7 linked regions of the Ovis aries genome follow. The protein of the gene in region 6 interacts with the protein of the main gene of each other region in a pairwise test. Links are inferred from orthologs where the notes say so. Each region holds a gene or a part of one and is shown on either strand. Other genes may lie near its edges.

Region 1 (4,058 bases), on a different chromosome or scaffold from region 6:
CAGCCAGCCCACTGCCACCTTCATGCTCATCAGCCCTGCTCTCTGGCCTCCAACTGCTGGCCTTCTTCAGACCAGCTAAGGAAACACCAGTCCGATTTCCAGTCTGTCCCACGTCTTCTCTTTCTGAACGGGCTTACCACAAGGGGGGTGGGTTGAAAAGTTTGTTTCATCTCTGTTGTTGTTCAGTGGCTCAGTCGTGTCTGACTCTTCTCGACCTCGTGGACTGCAGCAGGCTTCCCTGTCCTTCACTCTTTCTCAGGGTTTGTTCAAACTCATGTCCATTGAGTCGGTGATGCCATCCAACCATCTCATCCTCTGTCCTGTTTCATCTCTAATTAATAAGTACTATTTTCACTAACCTGACTGGTCTATTTCAGTCAACATTCACTGTGATTGGACATCTGAGAACTGAGTTGCATTTAAGTCAGATTAACAATAATAATAGGAGTTTATTTTTACTTATTTTTTGGCCTCTCTCTGGGCATGTGGGGCTATTAGTTCGCAGATCACGGATGAAATCTGCACCCCTTGCAATGCAAGCAGGGAGTCTTAACCAGTGGACCACCAGGGAAGACCCTGCAGGAATTTAACAACAAATTGAAATGAGAGCTAAAGACGACAGCGGTCTGGTGAATCACATGTAACAGATGACATCAACCTTATATATATATACTATTCAGTCATACAAACCAGCTGAATCGCCTGACAATGTAATTTTTAAATTATTAATCTAGATTTGGTGTTTAGATGAGAATTACATATTCAACATTCATAAGAATTAAGATCAATTACTTGAACTTTTAAAAAACTAACAGCTTTACCGAGGTATAACTTCGGAAAAACTTTAAGACTTTCTCCCCCTAGCCTTGTTTCCTTTGTAAAAGCTCCATGCTATTCAAGAAATACAACTTTCAAAGCCAACACTAATTCTCGTTAGACTTTAATGATACTTATCTTTAACTACTTTTCTTCGAATGAAAAGAGAAATAAAAAATAAAAAATGCTTCTCGTTGACAAAAGTCCAATTTGCTGTTAATTCTATATGCAGGTAGCAAAGAATCCACAGAGTTTGGTTCCCAAAAAGTGAGTCAAGTTACCAACACGCAACTTAACATCACGCTCCCTTGGAACTCGGCGGCACAAACAATAAACTATTTCTGCATAAAAAAACCCCACTAACAAGGACTAAAGGGAAAAGCAGATGGGCTGAAACAAGGAGTAAGTTTTTCTTTTAATCAGCACATCTTACGGTTAAGCTAGAGAAAGGTGTGGGAAGGGCCCGGCTCGGGCGCGCGCGCTCGGCCACTCTGTCCCGCCGTCCGCGGGGGCCGGGTGGTCCCGGTCACTGCGCCAGGTAAGCGGACCCTCGACCGCAGGGGACGAGGCCGGGGCCGGCGCCCGAGGGCCGAGGACACGGTCCTTCCCACGTCCGCCCGGCCGCCGCGGAGGCGAGGCTGCAAAGGCGGCGGATGAGCGGGCGGGCGGGCGCGCAGGGGCCGGGGGCGCCCGGAGGGCGGGTGCGGGCGCCCGGACCCCGGCGCGCACCGGCCCCGGCCCCGCCCCGCCCCGCCGGCCCGCCCCCCGCGCCGACGCCTGCCTGCGCCGCGGGCCCAGAGGTGGGCGCGGGGCGGCCCGCTCGGCTCCTCGGCGGCGGCTCCTCTCGGGCCGGCGGCCGGCGCGCCGCTCCTGGAGGAGGCGGCGAGGCGGGAGGAAGAGGAGGAGGAAGGCGGCGGGAGGCGGAGTTGCGGGCGAGCAGGGCCGAGCGCGGCAGTCGCGCCGGCGCGGGGCGAGGACGCGGAGCGGCCGCCGCCGGGTGAGCGTCTGCGGCGCGGGGCTGGGCCGCCCGCCCGCTCCCCTCGGGCGCCGGGGGCGCCGCGGCTCCGCGGGGCGGCGCGGGGCTGCTCCGGCGCGGGCGGCCCGGGGAGCGGCCAGGGCCTCGGCGGGTCCGCGGGCGGGCTTCGGGCCGGCGGGGAGCGGCGTCCGGGAAGCCGGGCCGGGGCGCCGGGCTGGGGAGGCCCGAGGCCTGCTTCCGCCGCGCGCGCCGGCCCGACCCCGCGGCCTCTGGCCCTTCGCCGCGCGCGCCGGGCCCTGGCCGCTGCCTTTGTTGCCCGCAGCCCGGCAGGGAGAGGCCGGGGCTCGGCGAGGCCTGGGGCGGCGGCGCGGGGCCTGCGCGCTCGGACCCCGGGGCCGGCGGGCGCGCGCGGGAGGCCCGGGCCGCGGCGTGGCCGGGACCCCGGTGGGCTCCGCGCGGGGACGCGCCGCCGGACCCTCGTGGCCGTGGGCACGGGAGGACGTGAGCCCGCCCTCGGGTCCGGGCCGGGTCGCGGTGTTCGGTTCGCTTCGCGGACACCTTGGTGCCTCCCTTCTGGGTCACATCTATTGACATTTGTCCCGGGGCAGGTCCCGGCCCAGAACTTGGAACGTGTGCGGTCGTCTGCAGGCCAACTTCACGTTTAGTCGGCATGTGGAATTCGGGGTTCCCAGCCCCACTTTTTGGAACTCAGGGCCAGGTGGGAATATGGGGACAGACCTCAGGCTTCCGGTAGTGAAATATAATAATGTTGGATTCAGTTCCACGAATGTTTTCTTGAAACGTCTGCCCTGGAAAAGGAGACCTGCCACTTTACTGTGGATGAGGATGGAGAACGTAGTAATCACAGTTACGATGTGAATGAGACATAAAACGTTGCCCAAATACGTTCTTCATGGACTGCGGTCCTTGGCTGCACACATGTCTGTCATCAAACAAAAGTAAACTGCCCTCTCCTTTAAGATGAAACGGCCGAGGTGTTCCCAGCCGCAGTAGGTGTGCAGTGATCTTGACTTTTTTTTTTCTTTTTCTGGTTAAAGCAACAAATATCACAACATGAAATCTACTTAGCTTACTTGAATGAATGAGTGTTCAGTGGAATATGTAGTGCTGTGGGGAATGTTTTATTTAAAAACATGAATGGCGCTGTTTATCAAGTTTCACAGAGAAAACCTGGAAACAGCCTGTGATCTGCTTCCGGTGCGGTCTTATTCCTCAGTATTTCTGCATCAGGTAGCATGGATATGGTTAAGTTTCAGAGGCCACGCCTGCTCCAAGCAGAATATGTGACCAACCCTTTGGTTCCGACAGGGTCCCTCAGGGTTTCTTGTTGCCTTTGGGGAGGCTGTCAGACTGGCCTTGGACTTAACTAGGATTCTTAGAAGAGCTCACCTGTGACCTGACAAGTACTTTCTACCGGTCTGGATAGGATCCCCCATCTTATTCACCGAAACCTTTACCTTTTGGGGGCCTTCCTTCAGTATCTCTTTTGAAGAACTTTTTCCCCTTGTGATCTTTAAATACCTCCTGAATTGGTGGGAAGTACCTGGCACTGCCCCTTTCCCTTCTCTTACTGGGAAGGTGGGCAGGCCTTAGACATGGCCTCCCCAGGACCCAGGGGCACACCCTTGGGTGTCACCTGACACCCTCCCCTGTAGCACCTTGTCGGGGAGTGGCCCAGCAGGGGTTGAGGTGCCATTGACCTGGGCTACAGCCAACCTGGGCAGTGCCCTGGGAGGAAAACTCAGCTGTGCTGACTGGATTCCTAATCATCTCAGGCTTCTTTTAATGGCCCTCTTTTTAGGGAGCAGAAGCAAGCATCTTCTTAAAGCCTGTCTTGCTAGGTAACCATCACTCTTTAGAGAAAACTCTGGTAATTTTCTCCCTTGTGATCAGTTTTCAAGAAGCTGTTTTTTTTTTACTAGTATTTCCTTTTATTTGGCTCATGGAAGTAATCCTGTGATCTTATTTCAGAGTTATAATGTAGCTTCCCTGGTGGCTCAGATGGTAAAGATTCCGCCTGCAATGTGGAAGATCCGGGTTTGATCCCTGGGTTGGGAAGATCCCCTGGAGAAGAAAATGGCAACCCACTCCAGTGTTCTTGGCTGGGAAATCTCAGTAGTCTGGTGGGCTACTGTCCATGGGATCGCAAAGAGTTGGACACACTGAGCGACTAATACAGTACTCCAAAAAAAAGGAAACTGTCAGGATCATTTCTGAGTTTGTGTCAATACTGTTATTATTCGCT
Region 2 (3,973 bases), on a different chromosome or scaffold from region 6:
AAGCTGTACACCTTAAACTTGTACAGTGCTGTATGTCAACTATCTCTCTATAAAACTGAAAGAAAAATTAATATTAGAAGATGAAAAAAATATGACAAGGAATGATACAGTCAACTGGTAAGTCAGGTTAGGATTGGAACTCAAGCCTTCCTCTTCAAATTCTGAGCTATTCAAATTGTGCCCGAAAGTAACACGACGCGAAAGTATTTGGAGGGAAGCTGAAAACCTGCTTTGCTGAGTCACAAAAGGCCCTAGGCCGTGACGATTCCCCTTGAGTTTACCCGGAAGGAACGTCAGCCATCACGCTGCGACAGTGGTCCCCAGCATCCTGGGCGCCAGGGACCCTTCCGTGGAAGACAGTTTTTCCTCGGGGCGGGGGATGGTTCAAGCGCATTCCTTTCACGCTGCACTTTCTTTCTGTTATTCTTACATCGGCTCCACCTCCCGTCATCAGGCACTGGGTCGCAGAAGCTGGGGACGCCTGCCCTACCTACAGTGCAGGACAGGCTCAGCCCAGCAACGAGATCGGCTCCCCAGGAGTCTAGAGCCGGGCTCCGATGCCCCTCTGGACAGGCGCCTCCACCGGCCGGCGGGGGCGGGGGCGGGGGGTCCCCGACAGTCATTCATTCCGCCCAGGTCTGAGATCAGCGTAGGGCGGGGCGAAGAAGCGCCAGGCCCAGGGCTGAACAAGGCGCACCAAACCCCGCTCCCGTGAAACGGACGGTCCGGCGCGGACGGGGGTGCGGCCAGGGGCCGGGGCTTCTGCGGCGGGGGTCCTGGGGGGGCCAAGGCGGCAAGGGCTCCGAGAGGACGCGGGAGCTTCGCCAGCCACCGCCTGAGCACCCGCGGCGGTCGGCCCCGCCACCCCCTAACCTGGCCGGCCCGGCTGCGCACGGCCCGGGGCCGCGCCCGGGGGCCGGGCCTGGCCCGCGCCGCCCGCTTTGTTCCCGGAGCGGGCTCCAGAAGCGCCGCCTCCCCGCAGCGCCCCCCGGCGGGCCCGGGAGGGAGCGCGGCGCCGCGCGCGGGCGGCGCACGCCCGCCCTCGCGATTGGCCGCGCGGCGTGACGTCACGGGGCGGCGCCGGCGGCCGCCGGGAGCGGGCGCGCGCGCGTGCGCAGTCGCGGGGCGCGGGGGGGGGCGGGGGAGGTGGCCGCCGCTGCGCCCGCGGCCGCCATTTTGTTGCTGTGGCTCTCGGGAGCGGGGCAGGGCTCGGCGGCCCCGGCGGCGCGGCGCTCCCGGGCGGTGTGCGGCTCGGCGCGGCCGCGGGGCTCGGTGCGGAGCGGCGGGGACGCGGGGCCGGCCGCGCGCCGGGGCCAGGGCTGAGCGGAGGCGCCGCGAGCCGCCCTCGCCGCGCTCGGCCGGGCCCGCGCCCGGAGCCGGCTGGGCCCGCGCGGCGGCCCCGGAGCAGGCCGGCGGCCCGGAGGATGTTGCGGGCCCGCGGCCGCGAGGAAGGCGCGGGCGCGGGCCTGTAGGCGCGCGGTGAGCCCGAGGCCCGGCCGGCGCGCAGCCGCCGCGGGCGGGGCGCCCCCAGCGCCGGCGAGAGCGGCCCGCCCGGCCCCCCGCGCGCCGCCCGCCATGTCCTCCGCCAGGTTCGACTCCTCGGACCGCTCGGCCTGGTACATGGGGCCCGTGTCCCGCCAGGAGGCGCAGACGCGGCTCCAGGGCCAGCGCCACGGCGTGTTCCTCGTCCGCGACTCGTCCACCTGCCCGGGGGACTACGTGCTGTCCGTGTCCGAGAACTCGCGGGTGTCCCACTACATCATCAACTCGCTGCCCAACCGCCGCTTCAAGATCGGGGACCAGGAGTTCGAGCACCTGCCGGCGCTGCTGGAGTTCTACAAGATCCACTACCTGGACACCACCACGCTCATCGAGCCGGCGCCCAGGTGCGCGGGGCCGCGGGGCTCGGCGCGGCGGCGCCGGCCGGGGGCGCCGTGGGTGAGGGCGGTGCGTCGGGCCCGGCAGCTCGCGCTGCGGGCGCCCAGTTGGAAAAGGGGCGCTTTCTGCCCTTCGTCGCGTCCTCGGTGCAAATTACCTGCTGAAGCAGGGCGTTGCTCCCGGTCTTGCAGCCGGTTTGGGGCCACGGGTTGAGACTCTGAAGCTAGTCTTCGGCTCCCCGCCCCGCGGGCCCCTCCCTGCCCCCCGCCCTCCCGAGTTTGCACCGCTTTCAGGGTCTCTGAGCTCCGGGGTTGGACCTCCCGGACGGCAGCCTTTGGAAACTCTAGAGATGGAAATGCCTTCGCAGGTAGAAACGAAATGCCTTTACCTGTGAAATATCAGGGCCATATATTGATAGCCTGGTGCCAGGGTTGAAATAAGCCAGGCGTCTGTTTTATAACACATTAACTGAAAATACTGTAGAAGAGGTCGGCTTGAACGAGGAATTTTTTTTTTTTAATAGATTTCCCCCAAGCTGGGCCTTTAATGGACTGGAAATCCATTTGGTTAAATTCCAAGGTGGAATGAGTCTAGACTGTTACTAAGAGGAAATTTTGAATGACACTCCACTGAAGATTCTACGCTAGTTGAATTTCAGATGTCCTTTTTGTACTGAGTTGCATGACTTAGTATCTATTTTAAAATAACCCAGAGTGACACTGAGCATTGGGCATCCCTTTTCATTTGGGCTTCATTATTGGCCTTAATATTTTGCTCGAGGCTTCTTTTGTGCAGATTATGCAAAACTTGAGCTAAAGAGATGGCGTAGGGTTTTAAAAATAAAAGGTATTGATCTTTTCAAGCGTCTGCTTAGAAAGGACAGGGTGCTAATACAGGTTTTTTTCAGGGTGAGATGGTTCTGACTTGATAGATCTGCTGACAAGATAGTAGTCTCAGCTCTGAACATGAGAAGCTGTCGTATTAAAGGGGGACGCACTGGATGCTTCTGTGGACTAGAGGTAGAGAAGAATGAAGCCCTCGCGGTGTAATGACCAGGAGGTTAACTGCTGAGCTAAATGGACTTTAAAAGCTGGGAGACAGGGATTATAAATCAGATACTGCGTAACAAAGGCCTAGCCGCGGCGAGTCTGACTGGCGAGGCCTCCAGGTCCCCGAAGAGCCTGGGAGCTAGAGGCAGCGCTCAGCACAGTGTGATTCCAGCGTGAGAGGCTGGGGGCTCTCGGCTCCCGCAGTGGTGAGGCTTCAGCTGCGTTCGCGTAACTGGCTCTTCTGGCTTGTGAAGGTGACTGAGCGCTCTCTCGGGCACTGACTGGGCCTCGCCGCGCGCCTCAGTGCAGCCGTGAGGGAGGGACTCGAGCCCCTCTGGGTGGAGAGAAAGGGGCGCGGCCCTGGCTTCCCAGTGCCCGCAGCCGCCACCCCCAGCTTTCCCTTCGTGCTGCTTCCCAGATGCCCGTCCTCACCCTCTCCCGCCGCCTCCAGGGAGCCCGCGCTACACGCCCACTCGCGCCGGAGGACCTTTGCTCGGGCCCCACCCGCCCCTCACCGGGCGCGCCTCCCTGCCCTTGGGGCCTTTCCCTGGCGCTGCCCCCGCCTCCAGTTGAGCTTTGCTGTTTCTCCGCCCGCTGCCCCGGGCGTCCCGCTGCCGTCGAGTTTTCCTTCCCCTGGTGTCTCCGAGGGCTGCCGCTGCCCCAGTTGAATGAGATCCTGGCAGGATTCACTTGGTCACACTGAACCTGGATCGCCTCTCCCGGAGCCAGAAACCCGCGGATCTGTGTGATGCGCTTATTACTCAGCTAGTGTAGAAGACAAGGCCGGGCCAGCTTTGGCCAAAGGCAAAAATCAGGGCCGTGTGCTTCCACGCCCCAGGCAGGATGGATGAAGTGGTTAGGCTCTTTCAGGCCTCAGAACCGAGCTCCTGAAGCCAGAGCTTCTGCGCTTTGGCTAATAGTTATTTTTTGGGGTTCATTTTGCTCAGTAAAAAGTGACGACTTACTGGCTTCCTCAGAATTTAAGGACTGATCTCTTTTTTTTGTTGGGGGAGTAGCTTTTTTTTTTTGGCCGTGCAGCGTGTGGG
Region 3 (3,500 bases), on a different chromosome or scaffold from region 6:
GGGTGGGTCTTCTTGGCATGGAGCCAGCTGAGCCAGGGCCAGGGGTGAGAGGCACTAGGGGGTCTTTAGGGGAGCCAGATGAGGCAGGAGGGACGCGGAGGACCTGTGCCCTTCTGACCCTGCCGAGGAGCTTGTAGTTAACCCCATCGGCAGTGGGGTGGTGGGTGATGCCGTCAGGCTGACCAGCTGGCTCTGCCTACTGTGCAAGCGGAAGGACCCAAGTGCTGCTGGCCAGAGCCAGGAGGTGCGGGGCCCTCCAAGTGGCGTGTCCGGGCGGGTTTTGGGAGGTGGGACAGGCAGGCCTGAGCTGACTGGATGTAGAGACCAGTCTGCAGGGAGAATCAGGTGACCTGGCTGTTGAGCGGTTGGTGGCCCACACAGCAACGGGCCTGGCAGGCCGGCTGTGCAGTCTTCAGTTGCAGACGTGGTGGGGTTGTGGTGTCCGTTGTTACTGGGGTCTGGAGGATGGAAGAGAGACCTCGGGGCAGGTATGTTTTGGAGCAGGCGGATAACTTCGGCCATGAGGCAGACAAGATGGCCAGGCCGAGAGAGAGGAGGTGGGAGTGAGAGCAGCGGCGTACCCGGCGGGTGGAGGCCGGCCGTCCTGCCCAGCTGGACTCTGCGCCGTGCCGGTGAGGCGAGCCGTGCGGCACAGTGCTGTGTGCCCCAGAGGAGGTGATGGGGGCTGAGCCTCGAGGCACACGGAGCCCTGCCGGGGCCCGGAGGTGCTGCTGGTATTTGAGGCCGCAGGTCCTCAAGGGAGGCAGACCGTGAGAAGCACACTCTGTTCCCGGGGTTGAGGTCGGGTGTGTGCCGTTTGCACGCTTGTGGTGAGACTGGGGGCGCACTGTCTGCTGACTGGGCAGTGGTTTCCACCCTTAGCAGGGCAGAGCCCCGTCTGGCTGCTTCTCCATTGAGAGGAAGCTGATTTGACGGGCTGGAGATCTGGGTAGGGGACCGGGGCTCAGACCAGGCCATGGGGTGGACTGTGCCGTGAGGACCGGCGTGCACGGCAGCCATGTGGACGGTGGCCTTGAGAGAGAAGGATGGCAGAGGGAGACGGGGCGCCACAGGCTCGGGCCCCCAGGCCAGACCCTGACCGTGTGCAGCTCCGAGGTTCGCCGGCCAGGAAGGGACCGAGGAGCTGCTGTCCCGGCCCCGAGCTTCCTGATATTCGCTGCTCCAGAGCCCAGCCCAGGCCCCTCAGGGAGGAGGCACAGGGAGACGGTGCCTGGTAGCTCAGGGGTGAGGTTGGCCTCTGCTGGGTGCCTGGGGTCTGGACAAGGGAGGAGTGAGTGGTGGCTGTGATCACAGGCGGTAGAGAGCGTGCCCAGGGTGCTGCAGGCTTGCTGTCTGTCCGCGGTGTGTGTTTGACCCTTTCTGGGCCTTGGTGCCGTCCCCTTGAGACCAGCCTCACCGCACTGTTGTGAGGTTTCTGCCGGTTATTAATGAAAAGAGCTTGCTTAGGCCGGTGCCTGGCCCTTGCTCCGAATCCAGTCATCTGAGCGTGGCGCTCGAGACAAGGCCCACACACGCATGCTGTGCTGGCGATGACGCTGTCCTGTGGGCTCCCGTCTGGAGGAGCCACAAAGCCCTGACCCCCCAGCATGGACGGGACGGGCCACAGCTGGGTGAGGGTCCCGAGCCTCCTGAGGCTGGCCGCTGACAGGCCCTCCCTCTGGACAGTAGTTTTTGTTGATGTCTTGCTGAGAAGAAGGGCAGGTTCAGGAAAGCCACACAGGGAACAGAGCTGGGCCCCCGGAGCTGGGGTACAAGCTTCTCCTCCAGGAGGACTCTTGTGCACATCAGGGCCCACGTCAAGCCCACAGCGGAGCCTGAAAAGTACTGTGGGTGTGCAGGACCAGAGGTGGAGCTGGGCAGGCTCCAGGCCTCAGGGGAAGGACGGGGCGGGGTCACCCGGGACGCCCAGCAGACTGGGGAGAGACCACCTCGCCGTGCGGCCTGGGGGCAGGCTCCGGGCGCTGGCTCGGGAGGAAGAAGATGCAGCTGGACACCCTTGTAGACACATTAACAAAGATCGCTAACTCCTCATGGTGCCCAGCACTGTGCTCCTGGACAGAGATCATGTGACCTGCACACTCCCCAGCCCTGCCCGCCCTGCACCCTGTGCTCTGACCCGGGGGCCGGTGCTCCATGCCCTGACACCCCTGTGCGCTTGCTGCCCCACCCCCCACAGCTATTTTGGCTTCATCACCAAACACCCGCTGCTGAGCCGCTTTGCCTGCCACGTCTTTGTCTCCCAGGAGTCGATGAGGCCCGTGGCCCAGAGTGTGGGGTGAGTGGGTCTGGAGGGTGGGCCAGTGCACATGATGGCCAGGACCGGGACGGGGTGCTGGCCTGGTGCCCTGGCGCACGCAGCTGCGGGGAGGGTGGGGATGAGGTTTGGGAGGCGTGGGGGCGGGGGGGGTCAGATGGCAGCGGAGGGTGTCAAGGGGCCTGGGCGGGTGGTCCTCGGCGGGTGGTCCTCAGTGTGGGAGCGGCATTCCACGGGGTGGGGGGGGTGGGGGTAGGGAAGGCCACACTGGACCCAGACAATGAGGAGCCAGGTCCGGGTCAGGAGGCTGAGGGCTGAAGCTGGGGCAGTGTGGCGGGCCTGGGTGGGGCCGTGGGGCCCCGGGCCTGAGGATGCTCTCCCCCTGAAGCCGCGCCTTCCTGGAGTACTACCAGCAGCACCTGGAGTATGCCTGCCCCACAGAGGACATCTACCTGGAGTAGCTGCCCCGCTCTCCTGCCCCGGGAGCAGCCAGGGCTGGGGCCACCTCAGGAGGCTGCCTCAGCTTCGGCAAGGACTGGACTGGGGGCCCGTGGGGCCTGACACCTGGGGGGCCGCGGGCTGTGCGGGATTGCGCATCCTCGCCCGGGGGGGCCCTGCGCCTCTGCCCCCCACGCGTCCCCCTGCCACCTGGGGCTGCCCGCAGCCCCCCCAAACCCCGTCTGTCTCTGCTCCTCTGTGCTGCGAACTCTCACCCTCTGCTCTTCACTGTGGGGTCGGAACTGGGAGGTGCGTGGGGAGGAAGCTCCCAGGTGACCCCTCTTGCTCGTCCCCCGTGATTTATAAAGGAGTTTTAATTTTTATAGTGAATATCAAGGGATCGTCCTGTCCTCATCATGGGGACAAAGAGAGGGCCCCCCATACTGCCCCACTTGGCTCTCGGGGGACACAGGGAGGGGTTCCCCAGGAGGGCCTTGGTGGGGACTAGGAGTCGTCCCTGATGCTCACCCTGAGTCCCAGACGCTGCTAGGAGGAGGGGGCCCTGGCCTGGGCCCCAACCACACCAGCATCTGCTTTGCCGCTGCAAACACTCCCCGCAGTCCAGCACCTCAATAAACTTTCTGCTTGGTGTGACCCTGGCTATTTCTGGGGTGAGGGAAGCAGATACAGGGCTGGGGACCAGGTGCTGCCCACAGCAGCGGGGGCCGAGGGGCCAGGGTGCTGGAGCTGCTGTCTGAAGCTCTGCCGGGCTCCCGGTGTGGTGTGT
Region 4 (4,203 bases), on a different chromosome or scaffold from region 6:
TTGAATGTGATGACAGAGCCTCTGCCTAAGTAGCAGGAATTCTCACTGTACAAGGTCACGTGTGCCAAGTATAGACCAGAATTTAACTCATCTGCAGAGTGAACCTTGAACTCCTCAAGAACTACAAATCTAGCAAGCACTATAAACCTACGTGCTGCACGACCACAAAACTGGAGATAATCTGGAATTACAAACATCAAAAAATCTGCAACAACATTTAAAAAAAAAGTGTTCCATGGGAATATACCTCAATTCTAGAAAAGCAGTAATGTAATAAGTTAAATAAAAATTGTTTTTTTAATTCAGCTCAAAAGGCCAGATTTCCTTAGCTGTATATATTCCATAAGCAAAGGACAAACAAGAACTGTGCAATAAGGCAATAGAGAGCTACACGGCATCTGAGAACCAAGAAAACAAGCACAACATATAAATGCAAAATAACAGACTCAAAGCAAAGAACTAGGATCGGATGCTACCCTGGGTTTATTTCCAGACTAACCTGAAGATATACATCTGTATCTGTGCATGAAGGATTATTAGGGTCAAAGCTACCTATTGAAAAAGTTATGCAACACATACTCAAATTCTATTTGCTACCAGAAAATACTAGTAAGAGACCTACGCTGCCAACAACATAGGCCTACCTGATAATTGCATTCACATTTCTGTCTATGTGGTAGAAGGTTCAATCACTATCTGAGCATTTCCCTCTTTGCTTTTAACTCAGGCCAGTGTTCATTGTCACCACTCAGCAGCACACTTGCCATTTCCTTCCCTCTCCTTATAGAATCGGGTTGCCCACGGAAGGAAGGTCAATGTAATACTTTAACACCTAAAATACCTGCGAAATGATAACTGTCTAGCTGCTCTTAACCATCTCCACCAAATTCTTTAAAAAATATTACACGTTTGGCCCAAGGAAGGCAATACCTCGTCCTAAGAATCGTGAAAAAACGGCAAATCTGAAACTTGAATACGTGAGAGAATGTTTTTTACTTCAAAATACTACTACTTCTTTTCACTTAGAGAAATTTAATGTATGAAGATTTATTTTCCGGAGTAGTATTTTAAATTAACATTTATTCCTTATTATTTTAAAATTTATATTTGGTTATTTTGCACAAAAGGTAATAGGAACTACATCTGTATCAATGGCAAGGAAAGCCCATGCTCAGTATGTTTATCTTCTTCTGCCCCCATTTACACTCTTTAAACGTCTTGACCTTACAAAAGGCTTTACTATAAAAACCTATGATTATTACATATTAAAAAAATAGTACCATTATTAACTAAATTCAGAGGAAAACTGACATCATCTACAGGACAGATGCACCCTAGCGATGTACCCAAACTAAAAAGATTGATTTTTCATGAGCTGAGAGTTTTTCATCCCCTTAAAATGATTCTAAGTAATAAATTGCACTCAGTGAAGAAAATGACCAAATTTTACAGGGGAAATCTCTCCTAAACAGGGGGACGCCTATGGCAGGAAGGGTGGAGGCACTTTAAATTGACCTCAAGAATTGTAAAATCAATATCATGCCTCACTGACATTTCTCAATCGAGAAACACATCCATCACCAAAAAAAAAAAAATTACAACCTCTTAAGTGAGTGGACACCCTTCACCCTTCAAACTGCCTAAGGGAACAGCCCCAAAGAATTTAATTAAAAGTGATTACTCGGCCTAGAAACGTGCTTTTGTTTTAGAAACTGTCTAAATACCAGCGGGACTTTCTCTTGCCCGAATCCAGCCCGAGGACAACAAATTGGTCAACGGCGGAAGTCGCCTGACGAAACGACTGCAACATGAAATCCAGTTTTATGATCATAACAAAACCTTCCTTCCGGGGCCAGGCAATAACTTGAGAAAACGTCCTTTGGGACGCAAAGGCAATCACAAGCCCCTCGTCGCCGGCCGGAGAGAAAGCGCTGGGCCCTCCGGCGCCGAGCGCGAGGAAGGCGTGCAGCTCCCCGTTAGAGCGTCCAAGGGGCCGCGGCTCGGGCCGTGGCTCGCGCCCCGCCCGCCTGCCTCGGCCCCGGCACCTCCCTCGGGCCCCGAGGCCGCCCGGGCACCAGCACTGACCTTCCGCAGGGCCGAGACCAACAGTCCCCGCCATTTCGGACTGTTCTCTTCGCTGTAGAACTCGTAAGGCTGCGGCGCCTGCTGCATGGCCCCGGCGGCAGCGCCTCCGCATCGGGGGCAGCCCGCGGGCCGAAACGGGCCGGACCGGTGATCTGACAGGCAGGGCGCGGGCCGCCTAGCCTCACCGGCCGCCGCCGCCTCCCGCCCGGGCCGCGGCTACGGCCGAGGCGGCTCGGAGGCGGCGCCGGCGGGCGGGCGGGGGCTCCGGGGGCGGCTTCCTCGGCCCCGAGACCTCGCCTCGCGCAGCGTCCTCAGGGGAAGCGCGGCGGCCCGTGAGCCCGAGCGGCCCTCGGCTGCGACTAAAGCGGCGGCCTCCTTTCCCGGTGGCTCTGGCCCGCTTCTCAGGCTGCTGCTCCTCCTTTGTCTGGGTTCGCAGCCCGGCGGGGGTACAGCTGGCCTCGCCCCCGCCCCGACTCCCACTACGGCCGTAGTAGGCGGACAGAGGCGGCGGCAGCTCGTGTCCTCATCGCCTCATCTCCGCCCTCCCAACCGGCAACGCTGCTCTGCCCGGGCCGCCCGAGTCACCTCCAGAGGGCCCTGGGGACCGACCGGGCGTGCGCGTCGGGCGAGCAAGCCACACTCCTGCGTGCACAGTGCCGGCCGCCGCCGCCCCTTCAGCAGCCGCGCACAGCGCCCCAGGGCCGCCGCCAAGCTCAGGTCCCAGCAGCCGCGGCTCGGCCCGCCCCCTCCGCCGCGCGCTCATTAACCAGAGAAGCTGGAGCAGCCCCTCACGGAGCATGCGCGCCGCAGAGCTGGCACAGGCGCCGGCTGGGCGCGGGGGCCTTCCCTCGGGAGTGCGCGTCTCCAGGGCGCTCTCTGCGAGCCAGTTTCAGAAACACTCCCTAGCTCCCTGACTGCGTTTTACACACTCTTTCCCGCGACAATCCTGACTCGATGCCATTCCTCAAGCCTCAGAACTCCAGTCGTGGGAAGCAATATAGGGAGTTGGAAAGAAAGGGGTTTTCAGGCTGGACACGATGTTTAATGTATTTGTGTTCTACATGACTCCTGTATATGTAACTATTTCATAGCGTAGTGTTGTGGGGACTGAAGAAGGTGAGGAGTGGAAAGTCCTTGGCGCATAGTAGGGCCAAAAAAGGTAGACGGCAGCGTTATTCAAGCTTGAACTTAAAAGTCCTTCACTTTCACGAGGCCTTATGTGTTCACAGAAATTTCATACCGTTTTGGTAAAACTTTCTATATTTTTGCATTGTTTTCTTAATGGTGTTCTCCAAATTGTGGCGGTGTGGAGGTGTCAGGTCCCACAAAACCTGGATCCGCCCTCGGGGCCAGCCCTACTCACTAGCAACCCCCAAAAGATCCCTAGACCTTAACCCCTCCTGAACTGAAGACTCTGGAAACTTTATCGAGAGCATAAATTTCATCCCACTAAAGATGCTGAGCACATACATGAATTACAATAGATCGTTGCCAGCCAACATCCCAGAGGAAGGGAAAGGAAGAACAAGGTACCAAAAAACAGTGCCACGCCTCAAAATCAGTTCAAAATCAGTAGCAGAGCAGTTAAAACAAGCATCATTTTGTCATTTTAGCAAAATCATAATGGCAGAGTTGGAAAACTTAGGAGATCATTTTTCTAATCCGAGTATCCACTGAATCAAGAACCTTTTCAAATAGATAAGTAACAAGGATATGTGGTACAGCAAGGAAATATAGCTATTATTTTGTAATAAGTTCAAGAAGAGCAAAATATATTTAAAAATTTGAGTTATGTTGTACAACTGAAACTACTGTAAATAAGAAATACTTCCTTTAAAAAGGAATGGCCATATCCACATCCCCATATAATTAGGATAAAAGGTAGAATAATGAAATGCTTGTCTCTCCAAAGAATCTTTCCATAAGTGAGGGCAAAGGCCTTGGCTAATCTAGACCTCTTTACTTTTCTGTCTCTTCTTGAACTTCAGCTGTAAACTGCTAGGCTGTCCAGCTATTAGACTGGGGTTGTATTTTCTTATAGGAAAGTGAAGCTGGGAAGTTTCATTCTTGGCTAAGGAGATTAGGAGCCTTCTCTGAGTCAAATCAGGTCTCAAGACA
Region 5 (2,437 bases), on a different chromosome or scaffold from region 6:
TGTGGCTCCGCCATGGCGGGGGTTCTGCTGCTGTGCAGGATGGAGCCGGCCACGCGCTCCGGACGCCTGTCTGGCACGGCAGGGGCCCGCCCGGGCCGCCACTGCCGCACCGGTCCGAGCCCCTCCAGCCTCGGAGCGGCCCTGCGCCTCCCGGGCCGCCACCGCCGCACAGGTCCGAGCCCCTCCAGCCTCGGAGCGGCCCTGCGCCTCCCGGGCGCTCTCCTCGCCCGCGGCAGCTGCCCCTAGGTCTTCTCTTCTCTGTCTGTCTTCCTCCTCGCGATGTTCCTGGGCTTGATTTTCAGAGAGAGTTCCCACAGGGCCTCCTCGGCCAGGTGGTCACTGAAGTCGTTGAAGAAGTTGATGATGTCGTCGTTTCTCCGGATGTCATAGTGCCTGGGGGAGGAGGGGGCGGCCATGAGGGCCACACAGCCCTGGGACCCCCACCGCCCCAGCGAACGCACGGGGCAGGCGTGCCCCCGCTGGCCCCCAGAGCTCGGGGCTCCCCGGGGCGGCCACACTCACGCCTGCTGGAAGCACCGCATGCTGTCCAGGATGTTGAACTGCTGCCAGCGTTTGGAGAAGTTCACCTTCCCGTCGATGTAGTCTGGGTTCCCCAGGTGGACGAAGGTGAGGTCCTGCAGGATGAGCCCCCTGGGAGACAGACAAGCTGGTGAGCACCCTGGGGGCGGCTCAGAAGGCAGCAGGTCTATGGGCTGGCGCTCCACGAGCGTGCCTGGGTGCTTGTGCTGCTTCTGGCAGGAACTCCTGACTCCCAGGCTCTGCGGCTCCGGAAAGGTGGGCTCAGGCCTGCCTGCTACATAGGGAGCCCCGCAACCCCTGTGCTGGCCCAGCAGAGCCACAGTCCACCACGTGCAAGTAACAGGGATGGGAGAACAGAACCCCCAAACTCGGTGGTGGGGGGGTGTCAATCCCCTGGGTTATCGGGCACGGTCACGTGCTTTCACACAGAGGGCGTGAAGCCACCTGACGAGGGGCGGGGCAGTTCCCCCAGCGGGGAAGGCACAGCCTGCAGCTGCCCACAGAGCTGGGGTGGGACGGAGGCAAGGAGGGGGCTGTGAGCTATAAGAGCCGCGTTTCTGAGGGTGCAGGCCTGAGGGACGTGCCCCTGGATACTCGGCCTCAGGTCACTGCGGAGTCTCCTGTCTGTCTCCTGGAAGTCCCCGCTGTCTGCTACCATACTAAGGAATCTGACGTGCACAAGAAACCCACTTAGCTCTGATTTTTCCTGCTGTTTCCCAAGCACACGTGCCATGGATTCTTTTTGGTGAAAACGCCTACCCTCGTCCCAGCCCACAGGGGCACCTGTCCAGGGCTGCCTCAGCCAGGTACTCCCAGGGTCCCTGGGGAAACTGGAGGGACCTCGGGCTGCTGTGAGGTGCAGCCAGGCCCGGGGCAGCTGAGCAGAGCACGGTGCCACAGGCCTGTTCACACGAGCACCCACACACGCTCAGGGACGGGGTGGAGGAGCAGCGGGACGGGGCGGGTGGGCAGAGCGAGCCCTTGCCACTGGACCCTCGCTCATCTCCACCGTCTAACAAGGAGCACGTTTTAAGTTAGGTACAAGCACAGCGCCCAGGTTGGAAACCTTTCCCCGCGGGTTTGTCCGTGGGGCAGCGAGCGAAGGGACCCCGAGGGAGGCTGTACTCACAGGTATGGGATGCAGGGCGGCTCCACCTCCGAGAGGGCAGCCCGGTAGGCGCGGAAGGACGACGAGCTGTCGATCAGCGTGCAATACTCAGCCAAGCCCTGGCGGGAGAAGGCACCATCCATGAGCATGGCGACAACGCCGAGCGCTGACCCAGAGCCAGGCCCCCCCCGCAGGCAGGCCAGGCCTGCTATGGACACAGGGCTGCTGCTTGGCTGTGCTCAGCGCCGCAGGCCGGGATGTGCTGCCCCCCCCCCCCCCCCCCCTCGAGCCTGCCTTCCCACCTCTCTACACTCAAGGCAGAGCCCACCGGGGAGGGCGGTGACCTCGCTGCTCTGCACGCTGGGCGGGCTGTGCCCCCTCACCTGTCACGTGCCTCTCACCTTGACGTGTCACCTCTTCCAGGAAGCCTTCCCTGCCTTCTCAGGCCCTCTTATGTGTTTCTGGAGCAGCTGGGGGGAATGTCCCACTTCTCCAGACACCACTGTTTCATAACTGTCCCTTTATATTGTCGGGAGACGACTCCCAGGGAGCCTGGCCAACACCTAGCCCTGTGGGCCTTGCCTCCCTTCCCCAGGAATAGCTCTCACGCCAGGATGAGGGTGCCCCAGGACTCCTGTGATGTGGCCACACTGGCCTCTGTCCCCTCTGATGGGAATTCCCCTCCCTTCCCAGGACGCGCCTACTCTGGTCTCAGGGTGACCAGCACCTCCTCGGGGCCTCCCGGATCCCAGGGTGGGCTGGGCCACTCAGTCACGTTTGCTCAGCAGC
Region 6 (3,500 bases):
AGTGAATAATGTGAGGAGGGACTATCATAAACTGAATAAAAAAGGGTTCAGTGAGCTCACATGGGTACTAAGAAAGCTATTTTAGAAACAGAATGTCCACTAGTAAATATAAAAGAAATGACAGAAATAGGAAGTCACTCTTACAACCACCAAGGAATGCAACTTCAGGCGAACCATCGGTTCTGCCATCGAGGTGGTTTAGTCACTCAGTCATGTCCAACTCTTTGCAACCCCATGGACTGTAACCCAGGCTCCCCTGTCCATGGAATTCTCCAGGCAAGAATCCTGGAGAGGGTTACCACTTTCTTCTCCAAGGAATCTTGCTGACCCAGTGATCGAATCCAGGTCTCATGCATTGCAGGCAGATTCTTTACCCCTGAGCCAGAGAAGCCACAGAGGTAATGAGATGAGAGCTGTGCACCTCTGGTGGGACACTCTCTACCTGCAGCACTCCATCTGTGTCGCGCCCCGCTGAAAATATGACCCGGCCAGACAGGGGCGGTCAGAGCAGCTGGCCTTGACTCTTCACAGCATCAGAGAAAAGAGGGCTGAGAAACGATCTTGAATTAATGAAGAGCCTGGACTCTTGATTGAAAAGCAGCTAAAAAGGATATACTGGGATAACAGGGGAGTTGAAATTAAACTGAAAACTAGAATCAATGTTAAACATGGGATAAGAGTGAAATTGTCTTTTGTTACTTGGGAGAATGTCCCGTTTGTACAAAAAGCCAATGCAGGGTGAAGTGTTATAATACCTGTAGTCATCACAGGACTCAGAAAACACACACAGAGACACAAACACGGAGTGAGAACAACGTGGTGATTACGGAAAACTGATGAGCTCGAGTTCAGGGCATATGGGTGTTCATTACACTATTTTGCAGTGTTTCTGGGTGTTTGAAAAATGTCAAGATAAAAGATAAAGTGCAGGATAAGAAGGGATACGTTGGCACTGGAGACACCCCAGGGATAGCGCACAGCAGAAAGGAAGGAACATGTTTCTGCGCTTGGAGACTCCCTCAGATCTGGTCTGAGGATGACGCTGAGGGTCTGGGGGCAGGGAGCCTAGCCGTGACTGGAAGCAGAGAGGGCCCTGTGCCCACGCCGGGCAGCTTCCCACCTTTGGCACAAGGCCCGTCGCACTTTTTGCACTTGCGGACACCATCTTCCTCTACCTCCTGGCTGTCAGAGCTGCAGGCGCGGACGCACGAGCCGTGATCTGTCACCACGTAGTTCCCTGGGGACAATGAGAAGGCAGTGAGAGGGGCACCAGGTGTTCTGGGCATAGTGACCCTGGATGGCGGCTGACCCTCTGGTTCTGTTTGCTTTAAGGACAAGAAGGAAAAGCTGCAAACAGGGAGGAATGGGGTTCAAGGTGTTCATGGCCTCCCCATCAGGCTGCTGCTCTCTGGTTACGATGCTGAAAGCTTCGTATTTATTTAAAAAAGTGACCCAAAACAAAGGCCACTCTTCTCTCGGCCACCCTCATTCCCTCGGGTCTCCGTGGGCGACGGGGTCCACACTCTGCCTCGGGCCTCACTCAGGGAGAAGTAACTTGTGTTAGTAATAAACTTTTCAGGAACTCTCTCTGTGTCTTTTGACTTCCCCAAGTGGATCCTCGAACCACTGGATGTTTCTCTGGGCGTTTACTGGATGTTTGTCACTTTCTTTCTGTAAACTGTCTGCTTATGTTCTCTGAGGCTCTGAGTGGTTTCCTGTAGCTTTCAAATTCTCTCAAAGATTATATCTGGGTCACAGTTGTGGCAAAGTTTTCTGTATCTTGCCATTTACCTAACAATGACTTTTTGTGGAGTATTTTTTGTTGTTGTTGTTGTTGTCATTCCAAACTTTTAAAATTTCATGTTCACAAGTCTGGTACTGTAAATCTCCCTGTCATAATTGTTCTTAAAAATATATATATATTTTTTAGTTAATCTTCCCTCTTGAAAATCACTTCCTCTCCTATGAAATCACTCATGTTGCCGTTTCCCTAAATACTAGAGTCTCCTGTAAAGCACAAAATAAGCAAAACCCAAGGCCCAACAATTAAACAAAGCCAATCGACAAGCAAAAAGCTCTCTTCTGTGCTCCTAGCGGCACAAACATGCCCAGGTTGTTAACCACTAAAGGAGGCCAGTCTTCTGACCTCTCTCTCATTTAGGCCTTATAAACACCTGCCGAGTACAAGAGCCAAACAGGGAAACGGCCCAACGGCCATAGGTCTGTGCCAATCAGACCATGGAATGTTCTGGGCAACCATGGCTGGGCTCAAGACACAAGAACCAACTTGGGGTCAGCCAAGGTGATAGGGTCAGCCTGATACTGAAATGATGCTGAAATGATACTGAAATCACCTGCCTGATACCGAAATGAATACAGGGACCCAAGGATCCCTGAGTGGGGGATATGGGAACCTCAGCAGGAGACAGAGAGAAAACAGGTACCTGGCAATGAAGGGGCTCACAAGGGACACTCACGGGGACACTTCTTGACACAGGTGGCGCCAAAGCTGTATTTCCCCAGCGGGTTGACCTTCATTTCGTAGGTGGTAGGGTCATAGAGCATGAGCGGCGGACATGTGTCCTTGCAGGTGGCTTCATCACGGAACCTGCGGCAGACCTGCCATGGGAGGGGTGGTGTGATTGTCAGACTCCATGGCGAGTGGGGCCACAGCCCTCTGTGTCCAGGTGTTTGGTCAGAGCAGACGACTAGAAAAGCACTCTCAACAGGGGCAGAAAGACTGTTTTCTTCAAAGCATGGTTTTTCTTAAATACACTGTTCTAGCTGTAATAGTTTTGAGGAGATTATGAGGAGCGAAAAACACATCTCTTAACTTTCAAAATAAGGCAGGAGTTCACACTCTAGAGTAGTAATTCTAGAGTGAAATTATTCAGCTTAACTTAAGTCTGATTTCCCTCCTAAACCACACTTGAGGATACATTTTTGAATTTATTACCAAACACAGAGAACTTTGACTGGGGGCTGTTGTGCAGAGAGAATCAGACCACACACAGAGGGGTCCTGACCAAGAGCCTGGTGTTGCCTCCCTCCAGCAGCCTGGCAGAATTGCCTCAGACCAGGGGGTCCAAAGCCCAGGGCCCCTCCAGCCTCTGGAACATTAGTTTCCCTGTTCCTAAAAACTATAGACTCTTCCGGGTCCCACTCAAGGTGAGTCTCCCAGTTTGGAACTCACTCAGTGCTGACTTTGGGACCCTGTCTGCCTGTCCTGGGGTCTCGGGACACACAAGGTACCCATAATCAGCCGTGTGGCACCAATGGCCCATAGTGACGCTAGAACTTGGTCAAGCTTTCCGCAGTCACAGGGACTACAGTGAGGCCTTCAGCACCCTCATGGGGTGGGGAATCAGCAGAAAGCTTCTGAGCCAAGCGGAAAGAGCAGAGGCTTTAGGGGGTCCAGCTGTCCTGCCCCTGAGGATCAGTGTGATCGCCTAACTTCACTTCAGGGGTGAATCGCCTAACTACCTTTTAGGGGTCGCTGC
Region 7 (4,104 bases), on a different chromosome or scaffold from region 6:
TTCTGCTCAGGAGCCCCTTCCTGCTTTGAGTATCTGTGATCCAAGACTTACTTTCTAAAGTTACAAAGTCAGAGAATGGGAGAAAGAAAAAGTAGAGAAGGATAAACCAAAGCTAGAAATGAGTGAGAGCATACTCAGCTCCCAGTCAGGAAGGACTGGCCTCAAAAAGGGACCTTAGACACTTAACATAAAAATCAGAGGAATTCAGATTTTGACCTGGCTCAGAGCAGAAGAGAAACAATGATGGTAAATGCCCTACAGCCATACAGTAGGAGGGACACGCAGAGTCGAACATGACTGAGCACATATGTGAGTGAGGAGGGACTGGCATAGCAGAACACCAGAGACAGCGGTGCGATCTCCCAATTCCCTGAAACCATTACCATTAGTAATTTCCACGGAGCCCCTCAAGAAACTCTAGTCACAGTTTTTACCTACTAATACTCTGAACTGACACTTTCGAACTGTGGTGCTGGAGTAGACTCTGGAGTAGACAGCAACGAGATCAAACCAGTCAATCCTAAAGGAAATCAACCCAGAATATTCATTGGAAGGACTGATGCTGAAGCTCCAATACTTTGGCCACTTGATGCCAAGAGCTGACTCATTGGAAAAGACCCTGATGCTGGGAAAGATTGAGGGCAAGAGGAGAAGGCGGTCACAGAGGATGAGATGGTTGGATGGAATCACTGACTCAATGGATATGAGTTTGAGCAAGCTCAGGGAGATAGTGAAGGACAGGGAAGCCTGGTGTGCTACAGTTCATGGGGTCGCAAAGAGTCAGACACAACTTAGTGACTGAACAACAACAGTACTCTGAGCCCCGGTGACCATAATGCCTCTAGTAGTCAGGCAACTACTTATAAACTCCTGCAGCTTTCCAGCCATTGTTTCATCAGTCAGCAGTATCATCTATTTCCCCACGGACCCTGGGCCAAAACTGAGATCGCCGAACCCCGTCTTAGCTTCAGAAACTTGAATCTGTTCATGTCATCCTCTTAGGAATCAACAAAAACAGATTTCAGGCTCTGTTCTTTGAGAATTCCATCTTTAAAAGGCCTGTGTTCTTGTTTATTACTGACACTATACAGATAGTGGTAATCCCTGCCTGATGCTGGTCTCCTGAGATATAAATGGCTCATATGGCCTGATCATACTATAGTAGTATTTAGGAATCTTTGATAAGTCTAATACTAGGCCAGGCTGGGATGTCTCCCCTCTCCAGTGGAGAGGAGGAGGGAGGGGAGGTATCCAAGAATTAAAAGGGTAAAGTAACTGAGGTCATTCCTCCAACCTGTCCTGAAGCACCAGCTGATCAGGTACACTGAATCAGGTTTGAAGGATGTAGCTAGCCTCCACAATTTTTCCCTAGAGGGAGCAGATAGTCTCTAGGGCAAGAGGAGGGGGGTCACCTGGGTAAAGCTCTTTAAAGATTATCTGGGCAGCCACTGAAGGACTGACCAATAAAAATTTCTGCAGCCTTGGACCTTAATTTTTTCTTTTTGGTAAGCATAACATAAAGGTAAAACAGCTAATAAAAAGAAGCTTCTATGTAAATGAAATTAGATGCATGAACCGAGAGACTGAGTATGTTCAGTTTTATGCTCCCACCATGAGCACCGCAAGTAATCCCCAGACGCCCTTCGTTTTCCCCCCATTCATGTAACTGGTGACACGTCTTCCCATGAAACACTGCCTCACAGCCTCTGCACTGGTTTCATTCATTCACTCACTCATCAAATATTTACCGAGTCTACCATGTGCCAGACACTGTGCTGGGCACTGGAGATACAAACGAATCGTGTACGGTCCTTGCCTCCAGGGCAGCCCCCTGGTGTCCTCAGGGCCAGCCTGGCATCCCAAGGCAGCCCTGGGCAACAGGATCACGGTACCCTTTGCAGCAGGTAAGTGTGGTAGCAGGGGGCTGGCAAAATGCCAGGCCACAGGTTTTCCCAAGGTAAAACTGGATGTGAGAGAGCAATCCCAGCCCAGCTCAAACAGGCATCAAGGTGGGAACCAGGGGCCAAAGGGGCGGAGGGTGCAAACGACCCGGCGTGCAGAGGACTCCCGCCGCAGTCGCCGGGCTGGGTGCTGAGCGGCCACGCGCGCTCCTCCACGGCCGTCACAGGAGATGTGGGGACAACGATGACCCCTGGGCGCGAGTCAGCTGAGGGGGTGTCTCCAAGGGACAGTTTGAGGAGACGGTTAGGGTGGATCTGCGGTGATGCCCCAAATGATAGCTTGTCCTGGGTGACTGAGGATTCAGTGGATGGCGGAACTGAAAGGATAGGACTGAAGATGAGGTTGGTCCAGAGGGTCAAGCAAGACCGAAGGGTGGGGCTGACGGGACGAGGGGGAAGGGCTGAAGGGAAGGGAGTGCGCGCTAAGGACTGGATAGGTGAGCAAACTGAGGGCCTTTCTCCCAAGGGATCATTTGGAACGCGAGGACAGCGGATCTCCGGGACCTCGCCTGCCCCAAAGACGCGTCCTACCTGGTTTCTCGCCTCGGCGTGGTCCTACCGCGCAGGAAGCGGCAGCGTCTCGCGCCCTGCAGGGGCCGCGTTGCAGCCGGGACAAGCAGTCGTCCCCCTTCTCTCAGACAGCTTGGTAACGCCCGGTCCTCCCCTGCAGCTGTGGCGCCGATGGTCCGATCTGAAATGCCCTCATGCCGCCCCTTGGGATGGCCCGTCGTTCGGCCCGCTGTGCCAGTGGGGGTGCTCGGCCACCTCCTGGCACCCTCTGCATTGAGCGCGGCGAGTCACGCGCAGTGCTTTCCCGAGAGTGGAGCCGCGGCGCTTCTGCCGTGGCCCCGCCTTCTGCGGCCTGTGCCCCGCCCCGTCGGGGTGGTGCCGGCTAAGTGGCTGGGCTGTGCTGGAACCCAGAAAATCCTCGCGCGCGGCTTAACTGGCGTGTGGAAGGCAGGTGCATTTGCGCATCCGCCATCGCCTAACGGAGCGATTCTCTGCCTGACACCGCAGTAGAACCTCTTGGGAAAAACAGCAAAACAAAACTAAAGCCTGACCTCAGCAGAGACCAATTGACCCAGAAGCACGGGTAGGGTGGAGTAGGGGTTGGGTGGTGCCCAGCCTTGATATTTTTAAAAGCACTCCAGCATAGCCAGGATGAATAAGCCTGGTAAAGTCTAGAACGGAACAAAGACTGTCTCCTTTGGCCAAAAATTTAATCAGGTTCTTCTGAGTCGGCCCTGGACCAGGCTTGACTTTGGGCTTCCCTCTTTGTCCTTGTAGAATGCAGTTTAAGCAAGAATCCTATTAAATCAGTTTATTGGAAATTCTCTGCTCTTGATATCTGACCGTCCTTGGTATTTATCACCTTGGCCTGCTTTCAGCAAGAATTCTGTTGAGTTGATCTACCAAGAATCCCCCTTTCCTCTGATGTTTCTTCTTAGTAGTTGCTATGCTCATGTCCCTCCAAAATTCTTATGTTGAAATCCTAACCCCCAGACATTAGTAGGGGGGGCCTTTGAGAGGTGATTAGGTCATGAGGATCTTGCATGATTAGGATTAGTAGCGTCACAGAAGATATCTCATGGAGCTCCCTAGCCCAGTCCTTCAGATGGGGAAGTAGCTGACCAGAGAGCACCTAGTGGCCAGGCTGGCACCTTGGTCTGACTTATAGGCTCTAGAACTCTGAGAAATTTGTTTATAAGCTACCCAGTCTGTAGTGTGATGTGTTTTTTAGCCATGGCACGCAGCATGCAGGACCTTCGGTCCCAACCAAGGACCAAACCCCGGCCCCGTGCCTTTGGAGCACAAAGGCTAACCACTGGACCACCAGTGGAGTCCCTGTGGTGTTTTATTATAGCAGCCAGAATAGATGAAGGCTGTAATTTTCCAGCCACTGACCTCTACCCTGCTGCTTGGCTAATAAATTATCACTTGTCTTTGTTGGGATCTGAGTTGAGCTCAATCTCTTCCCCACTGCAGCACCTCATTGCGGTGGTTCCTATAGCAAGTCCATGATCCCCGGCCCACTCCCTACCCTCCCCCCTGCCCTGCCCCTGCAAATAAAGTTTGCCTTACCATCTTTAACAAGTGTAATGAATATTTTTTTCTTTATCAGAACTCATGTGCTTCCTGCTCC

What was found.
Region 1: the proteins of EGFR (region 6) and SOCS6 interact in a protein complementation assay, tested with the Homo sapiens proteins (3 studies listed by BioGRID and IntAct, with this or other methods). The link is inferred for Ovis aries from reciprocal best matches to the Homo sapiens genes EGFR and SOCS6.
Region 2: the proteins of EGFR (region 6) and CRKL interact in binary tests that used the Homo sapiens proteins (3 or more experiments, as listed by UniProt). The link is inferred for Ovis aries from reciprocal best matches to the Homo sapiens genes EGFR and CRKL.
Region 3: the proteins of EGFR (region 6) and MAPK8IP2 interact in binary tests that used the Homo sapiens proteins (3 or more experiments, as listed by UniProt). The link is inferred for Ovis aries from reciprocal best matches to the Homo sapiens genes EGFR and MAPK8IP2.
Region 4: the proteins of EGFR (region 6) and SOS2 interact in a protein complementation assay, tested with the Homo sapiens proteins (3 studies listed by BioGRID and IntAct, with this or other methods). The link is inferred for Ovis aries from reciprocal best matches to the Homo sapiens genes EGFR and SOS2.
Region 5: the proteins of EGFR (region 6) and RAPGEF1 interact in a protein complementation assay, tested with the Homo sapiens proteins (3 studies listed by BioGRID and IntAct, with this or other methods). The link is inferred for Ovis aries from reciprocal best matches to the Homo sapiens genes EGFR and RAPGEF1.
Region 7: the proteins of EGFR (region 6) and RUSC2 interact in a protein complementation assay, tested with the Homo sapiens proteins (2 studies listed by BioGRID and IntAct). The link is inferred for Ovis aries from reciprocal best matches to the Homo sapiens genes EGFR and RUSC2.

The regions. Positions count from the first base shown.
Region 1 is NC_056076.1:7,272,947-7,277,004, reverse strand, and holds the start of SOCS6 (suppressor of cytokine signaling 6), read left to right. Parts: upstream 1-1,258; 5' UTR 1,259-1,354; intron 1,355-1,612; exon of another isoform or gene 1,613-1,813; intron 1,814-4,058. UniProt on the Homo sapiens protein: SOCS family proteins form part of a classical negative feedback system that regulates cytokine signal transduction.
Region 2 is NC_056070.1:72,322,475-72,326,447, forward strand, and holds the start of CRKL (crk-like protein), read left to right. Parts: upstream 1-1,173; 5' UTR 1,174-1,575; coding exon 1,576-1,886; intron 1,887-3,973. UniProt on the Homo sapiens protein: May mediate the transduction of intracellular signals.
Region 3 is NC_056056.1:225,855,917-225,859,416, forward strand, and holds the end of MAPK8IP2 (C-Jun-amino-terminal kinase-interacting protein 2), read left to right. Parts: intron 1-2,197; coding exon 2,198-2,296; intron 2,297-2,663; coding exon 2,664-2,736; 3' UTR 2,737-3,367; downstream 3,368-3,500. UniProt on the Homo sapiens protein: The JNK-interacting protein (JIP) group of scaffold proteins selectively mediates JNK signaling by aggregating specific components of the MAPK cascade to form a functional JNK signaling module.
Region 4 is NC_056060.1:41,394,667-41,398,869, forward strand, and holds the start of SOS2 (son of sevenless homolog 2), read right to left. Parts: upstream 2,801-4,203; 5' UTR 2,173-2,800; coding exon 2,086-2,172; intron 1-2,085.
Region 5 is NC_056056.1:5,218,886-5,221,322, reverse strand, and holds part of RAPGEF1 (rap guanine nucleotide exchange factor 1), read right to left. Parts: intron 1,768-2,437; coding exon 1,670-1,767; intron 652-1,669; coding exon 523-651; intron 394-522; coding exon 243-393; 3' UTR 1-242. UniProt on the Homo sapiens protein: Guanine nucleotide-releasing protein that binds to SH3 domain of CRK and GRB2/ASH. Transduces signals from CRK to activate RAS. Involved in cell branching and adhesion mediated by BCAR1-CRK-RAPGEF1 signaling and activation of RAP1.
Region 6 is NC_056072.1:941,938-945,437, forward strand, and holds part of EGFR (epidermal growth factor receptor), read right to left. Parts: intron 2,620-3,500; coding exon 2,478-2,619; intron 1,238-2,477; coding exon 1,121-1,237; intron 1-1,120. UniProt on the Homo sapiens protein: Receptor tyrosine kinase binding ligands of the EGF family and activating several signaling cascades to convert extracellular cues into appropriate cellular responses.
Region 7 is NC_056055.1:52,991,245-52,995,348, forward strand, and holds the start of RUSC2 (AP-4 complex accessory subunit RUSC2), read right to left. Parts: upstream 2,801-4,104; 5' UTR 2,493-2,800; intron 2,279-2,492; exon of another isoform or gene 1,749-2,278; intron 1-1,748. UniProt on the Homo sapiens protein: Associates with the adapter-like complex 4 (AP-4) and may therefore play a role in vesicular trafficking of proteins at the trans-Golgi network.